Drosophila melanogaster: one gene and its partner. The protein of the gene in region 1 interacts with the protein of each later gene in a pairwise test. Each region holds a gene or a part of one and is shown on either strand. Other genes may lie near its edges.

Evidence for each region.
Region 2: the proteins of CG8292 (region 1) and CG18135 interact in a two-hybrid assay, tested with the Drosophila melanogaster proteins (one large-scale study listed by BioGRID).

The regions. Positions count from the first base shown.
Region 1 is NT_033779.5:8,216,196-8,219,823, reverse strand, and holds CG8292 (uncharacterized protein), read left to right. Parts: upstream 1-1,806; 5' UTR 1,807-1,924; coding exon 1,925-2,137; intron 2,138-2,199; coding exon 2,200-2,850; 3' UTR 2,851-2,973; downstream 2,974-3,628. Other genes in the region: Snx6 (sorting nexin 6), read left to right, coding at 18-462, 526-708, 953-970, 1,145-1,254, 1,320-1,413; CG8349 (uncharacterized protein), read right to left, coding at 2,985-3,421, 3,481-3,628.
Region 2 is NT_037436.4:18,991,509-18,995,263, reverse strand, and holds the start of CG18135 (uncharacterized protein), read left to right. Parts: upstream 1-2,096; 5' UTR 2,097-2,124; coding exon 2,125-3,755.

The sequences.
Region 1 (3,628 bases):
ACATCTTTACTTGCCAGTGAGTACCTAGCTACCTTCAAGAAGACGGTGGCCATGCACGAGGTTTTCCTGCGCCGCCTTGCTAGTCATCCCGTCTTTCGCGTCGATCAGCACTTGAAGGTTTTCCTGGAATACGACCAAGATCTGTGCGCTAAGCCACGCAAGAAGATGGCCATCTTTGGCGGCTTTGTCAAGTCCCTGGGCAAGACCACAGACGAGATCTTGTTGAGCGCCACGGTTCGGGATGTAAATGACTTCTTTGAGAACGAGCTGCAGTTCCTTACCGAGTACCACGGCCACTTGCGCGAGGCAGCACTCAGGACGGAGAAAATGACGCAACGCCACAAGGATGTAGGCGACTCGCATCAGAAGATTTCGAATGCGTTGACGCAGCTCTCGACTACGGAAAAGGGAAATGTGGAGACGTTTGTGGCCAAGACAGCGGAGATATTTGAAAGGATCAAGGTGCGCTACGCTGCGTTTTCGCTATAATTATATTTTATAAATTTTCCTCTTGATATTTTAAAGAATCTGGAAACCCGAGTGGCTAGCGATCAAGATCTCAAGCTGGGCGACACTCTGCGCTACTATCAGCGGGATAGCGACGCTGCCAAAGCTCTACTTATCCGGCGACTGCGGTGTTTGGCTGCTTATGAAGCGGCCAATCGAAACCTGGAGAAGGCTCGCTCCAAAAACAAGGATGTTCATGCGGTAAGATTGAGGGATGATCACAACTAGTTCTTCCAGAACTATGTTTCAGATCGTTTAAAGAGCAATTGTTTTCCCTACAAAAAGTTTCCAGCGGGTCAATTAATTCTCACGCTTCACTAATTACAAATAACAAATTATTTGCGTTCTTGTATTTTATTGCTACCGTACACAACCTCACAACTCTCTGATCTGCCTGTCCCTCCCTCTTCACTTTTTGTGCGTGTTTGTGGTTCTGTTTCTGCAGCCGTTGGAGGTGCAAGAGGTATTTGGCATTTAACGTTTTAACCGTCGGTTTAGTAGATGTGTCGCCACCCCACGTAAATGCTGCATGCGCTCCACCGTTGCTCAATCTGTTGTATTCACTTTAGCATGCCCTTGCTGTGGCCCACTTGTTGTGTTCCCTGTATATAATCGTTTTTGTTTATCCTCCAATTAGGCCGAGACTGCCCAGGCGGAGGCCTGTGAAAAATTCGAATCTATGTCTGCATGTGGAAAGGAGGAGTTGATCGGTTTCCGCAACCGACGGGTAGCTGCTTTCAAGAAGAGGTGAGTCAGCAGCTGCTAAACATTTTGCTATGCTCTGCATTTTATTATCGCTTTTCTAAACACAGCCTCGTCGAGCTCTCAGAGCTGGAGATCAAGCATGCCAAGACGCAGTATGAATATCTGCGCCAATCACTGCTAGCGCTCAAAGAGATTGCCTGAGACGGGGAGCCGGAAGTAGACAAGGAATAGAAGGATGAGTCACCCGCACATTGTTTACACACCCCATTGAAACGCAAGCCTCATCGATTACACACATCCGGGAGACGAAGTAAATCAATTGTTTAATTGCTAAGCAAACAGTTTATTATTGCACAGGCCAAATCGAGTGCAACATTATTATCTTAGCCCACGTATTATATTAACGAATATTCATTTGTTTTGTGAACAGAGCGCTTTTATATTTGTCAAACAAGCATTCCTCTCTACAGCATAAACTACAACTACATATATTGTAAACACTTGCATTTGAAGCAGAATATAAACGAGAAATATTGTACAGAAGGCTGGCTGTTTGTGAGCAGTCAGTATACTAGCATTGTTTGGAGTCTATTCGGTAACTGGGCAACATCAAGGGTTTCCAAATTAAGCGTCTCAAGGGGTGCACATTTCCATTGTCGCTGAAAATTGTGTTTGTTGTCAGTGTTAGATAGATTTTCAAAGTCCATAAGCCATGGATGAGTTCGGCGTCTTCGATTACAAGCGCCCTGCCAGCGCTACAGATCCCGATTGGAGGACCTCGTACTATCGAGGGCATCGCCACATTACAGACTTGAGAATGGGTAACAAGCTGAACGCCAAGTTTACGGATAAGGGTATTTATGTAAAAGATCCGCTGCTGTCCGAGAAGCCGACTTCTGAGTGCATGGCCAACTATGTGTGGCAGGTGAGTTGATTGATATGCTGAGATATGTTGCACCAAACTAAAACGTGACCATGATGTTCCAGTATAACGATCCCAACGCACTTAGAAATCCCTCGCTCAACATGAAAACACAGTATATGAAACCATTTGAGGAGGGTTCCCTTCGCTTTGTAAAGCGAAAGATGAAGCCCATTTCTAGTGTCAGTCATGAGTCGTATGTACTTAAGGAGCTGCCGGAGGAACAGGAAATATTGCCTGTAACAATGCCCACTCCGGTGGTAGCCACCAAGCTAGTCATCGACCGTTCGGAGGCGTCCTTTAGCAAGTACCTTGATCCCTCCTCCACCACATACAATCTGTCGTATGTGCGCTGGGGTCCCGAGGACTTGTGTGGCGGAGTAGCTGCCCACGACAATATTACATACTGGAATTGGACGGAGAAGATGCCGCCCATCCAGAAAGTGTCCCGCGAAGAGGATCCTACAATGTGTGACGAGGGTAATACGCATAATTGCCCAAAGCGACGCTGTGAGTTTCAAAACCTCACCAAACGAGTGCCGCATTCGGGAATGGTCACCGAGGTGCGCGCTAATTTCACGGATCCACAATTTCGAAGGGTTGAATTCGATCCAGAAGTTAAGCCCATACTCGTGCACGAGGAAGTCACTCCGTTTGCGGAGAAAAGCGAATACGGCATCTACGGATCGGGAGAACCAGTTATCAAATACGTTTAGTTCTCTACACATTGTTTTGACTTTTTGTCAAGTTAATCAGATCGCTAACTTAAATTATTTGCAATACTTATTGACATTAGAACGAATAATTTTATTGCATTAAATAAATTCTGGATATTATTTAGATGAAAATTTCATTCAAATGAGTTAAAGCTGTGGGGAAGCAGATGGTAGGCGGACGTGACCAGCACTTCAGCTTCGTCCGGAATTGAAGGAATGCAGTTCTCTTGCTCCGGCGGCGGAGCCTTGGCAATGTAGATAGGAATATCATTTTGGATGAACTCCAAAATGAACTGCCGGCAGACTCCGCAAGGTGTGGTAAACCCATCTGGGTGATAGGCTACCACAGCACCCGCCGTATACTTCTTCTCGCCCTCGCTGATACCCTTGGCCAGGGCACAACGCTCCGCACAATTGCCTGGAGTGAAAGCTACGTTCTCGATGTTGCAGCCCGCGTAGATCCTGCCGCACTTCGCACGGAAGGCTGCTCCCACTTTGAATTTGCTGTAGGGCGCATAGGCACATCGACGGGCAGAAAGAGCCGCCTCTAGCAGCTCCCGGCCATCCTCACCTGGAGATTACGGTTTGATTACCAATGGCAGAGGATTCACCATTATAGCCAAGCCTTACCAACAGCACAGAACGCTACTGTGTACTCCTCCAACATCTGTGGATGTGGCAGGTTTTCGGATTCACTAGCCCGACCCCTGTCGCCATTTAGACGCGCCTCCCTGCGTGCTAGCTCGCATAGAAATCCCTCCAAGGTCATCATATACTT
Region 2 (3,755 bases), on another chromosome or scaffold:
GTTTTGTTTATGCAATTGTCGTGGGTAAAGGAAAATCTATATTCGACGGGGGCAGGGGGGCTTTTAACGATGTATGTATATATATCTATCAGGGCTATCATATGGGCGGGGAAATAATTGCCAACTTGGTTAATAACAAAGTGTTTCAAGCACACCTAAGTTGGGGATTGGTGTAAATAAAAAATGCCTATGTATGTTTTCCCGCCTTGCGAGAATGGTATCCTATTGATGTCATTTCCGTCGAAGTAATCCAGTAATTCACGTACAGTACCACCCCTGGGATCCCGGTATAATATATCCCACTCTTTTGAGTTTCTCTTCAAACTGAATGCCACATGTTGCAAAAGGTCGCTGCCTCACGTGACTCAACCACTCAAGCACCAAGCATGCTATAAGGTTAAGCTTTCGAGAGGGTCCCCGCTCAAGTGGCCCATGTCTGATTAGATGTTGGCTTATTAATTTCTGAAGAGGCTGCCATAAACTACACATAGTATATGGCTGATATATGAGCTCTGATACCTAGCTGACTGATAACGAGTTCAGCTGAAATACAAGCCACGAAACACATGGGCCAGCTTTTCGCCTTCACTATAAATAAAACGCACGCCAAGAAGTGAGTGGAAGTAGAAACGGCCCAAACATGAAAAGCTTTTTGAGTCTGAAATTTCCCAAAACAAAAAACATATGGCAGAGTATTCAGAGAGATATAGAGCGAGTAGCAGAGCGCCTGCGTTAGGAACACGTGAAAAGGTGTTTGAGAAATCGGAGCAAAGCTCGAATATCATAAGAAAATTAACATAGAGTTGAGAAATTAAAAGCTGAACCACATATTGCTCGAAATCAAAATTCTTTTGAGAACTATTCGATGTTTGGGGCGTTACTGTGGGCGTTTCTCCCCCCGTAGAAACTAACAAGGCTATGCTAATTGTGCCAAGAACGTGAAATCGCCAGGAAATCGCTCGCAAAACGCACCTTCTGACGCAATTAGTCAAAAATAAAAAATGCGGAAAACTATATGCTGCCTTGCTAGCAATAACAACTATAACTAGTGCCAAATCGCGCAGTTTTGAAAATTTCACCAGAACACGCGACTTTTGCCATCGAAATGTTGCCAAGGCGGCGGATGAATATACATGCCAAAAATCTACATATAGCCAAATCTGAACAGTCGGTCGGTTAGGTGGGTGGGTGGTTGGTCGCCTTTTGCTCCGCCGATAATAGGTCTATAAAGTAGGCGGCTCGGTAAACAATTTGTGTGCGGGCACAGCACGTGCTAATTTATTCAATATTTCGGTTAATTTATGGGTCCGCTCCACTTACGTAAACTGCGCCCGCTGCGAGTGAATTTAGCGCCCAGTTGTCAGGGGATCGTCGGCAGGTGTAGGGCACTCAGCAGTCGTTGCATCACCGATCCTCTGCCGTGGCATTCATGGCAGTCGCCGGCCCAGAAGTCGCAGCAGCGACAAAAACAGCAACCGCTGCTTAAACCGCCTCAATTGCAACCGCTTCCGTGCGGCTTGCGCGCGATTCGCTCAAAGGTAAACCGCTCGATATCGAACAATTTGTAGCGCGTGCTGCTACTTACATTTTTCAAGTGGAATGGGAGGAAATTAAATTATTGCCTCCTGTGCTTGACGTATAAAAATATATTTCTAATTAAATATTTCTCAATTTGTTGAAGGGCCTTAGCAATTTTTCTGTAGAACTATGTTTATTAACTTTCCAATACTTTTAACCTGAATTGATGAACGCCATAGACGAATTAGTTGTTTCAATGAATACAACTAAATTTATGACGAATAGATTGTAAATACACACGTACGAGCTGGGCTATAATTAAATGAAGCCATAATTCAATTTTATTTCCCGGGCAGATGGGCTAGATCTCAAACTATGGGTTTCCGTCAATATATTTTTATATAAATATTAGGGGTTATCTACGCTTTGACAAATAGTTACGCAAATAGAAATTTGACGAAGGCAGGCTTAGCAAAAAGGCACGTATAAATCAAATGACTATACGTCAGATCAGTGTCCAATCGAGCGACTCAAGTGGTTCGAATATTTATTGTTTTTTTTTTTTAATAGCTAAATAGCTAAGCTAAGCTGTTGATAATAGGCGGAATGATCTTTAGTCGGGCCCCAGTACAACACGTGATCTTGTTTGCGCCTCTGAAAGTCACGAGCGGTTCTGGAGCGACTAAAGACGCGTGCTTATCGCGCGAACTTGTTTTCGATTCTAAATCGAGAAATCGGCGATTCCGACGAGCCGGCGGGGGCATTGGGAGCACGGGGGCTAGGGAGCTAGGGAGCAGAGACAGCAGACAGTCGACGCCCCGCTTAGAGAAACTTTATCAGGCAGAAACGGAATCCGCAAGGGGTCATCGACTAATCTCGCTGGCTCAGCAGGAAAGTTGCCGAGCATTTAATAGCGGACTCCGCCGCTCGATCGACTTTCAGTCGGCGCGCGATCTCCACTCTAACCCGATGGCCATGTCTCGGACTGTACTAATCCTGGCCGTTGCCTTGTCCTTGCAGTGTGCCGCCTTCGTGGACGGAGCCTCCATCACCTATGGAACCGGAAACGAGCTAGAGTCGGGATCTGGATCCTCCGCCGCCTGTAAGCCCACTCTGCGGGAGTTCAATGTGCGGCTGGAGGTTCCCCTGGCCGCCGAGGAGCGACTGGGGCTTACCGGCGATGTGAAAGCCCTCGGCGAGTGGCAGCTGTCCAGAAGTGTGGCTCTAGAATCGCTGGACGAGCTCAACTGGCAGGCCACGGTGGCCCTTCAGTCCTGCCGCCAGCTGGAGTACCGCTACTTTGTCTACGTGGAGGATCTCTCTGGCTACAAGCAGATCCGCCGTTGGGAAACCCATTTCAAGCCCAGGTCCCTGGGACCCTGTACGGAGCTACAGTGCAGCCAGTTGGACGTCTTCGGTATTACGTCGGACAACTCCGATCTAAAGCCGCAGGTGCACCGCGGCTGGCTGAACCATGAGGCCATTCTGCAGCTCAAGTTCAATGGCGAGAAGATGTTCCAAGTCCACGACATCGAGACCTTTGACCCCCAGCACGTCCAGCTGAAGATTGTGCCCGTGGAGAAGACCGCTGGCCTGCATGTGGAGTACTCCAAACAGGAGTACGGCAAGAGCCAGCTGGAGCTGCAGCCTACTTTCGGAGTGCCCTACACCAAGGGGGACATTGTCATCTTTCACATCACGCTGCCGCTGGAGAGGATGATGGAGCAGCACTTCCGCTTGGAGTGCTACAGCATGTCCAACGAACTCCTGGGCAGTGCCACTCTGGTCACCTCGGACCTGACTGGCAGCGAGGGAGTGCTCCACCTGCCGATTAAGTCGGCCAAGAATGCAGATGAGACCCTGGCCAGGCTGAGGCTTCCCTATGTCGCGGTGCAGCCTTACCGCTACTCGCCGCTAGACTTCAAGAACACCTATGCTCACTACTGGCCCAAGAGCTGGCCCAACCTGGATGTGGGTCATCGTGGAAATGGCAAGAGTTACATTGCAGACGCTCCTGCGGAAAGGGAGAACACTATCGCGTCTTTCCTGAGCGCCCATGAACATCACGCAGACATGATCGAGTTGGATGTCCATTTGACTGCTGATGGTGTGCCTGTGATTTATCACGATTTCGGACTGCGAACTGCTCCGCCTGGCAAGCAGATCAGCCGCCCAGACCAGCTGGAGTACGTGCTGATCAAAGACATAAACTATGAGCTGCTCAAAAGGCTGCGCAT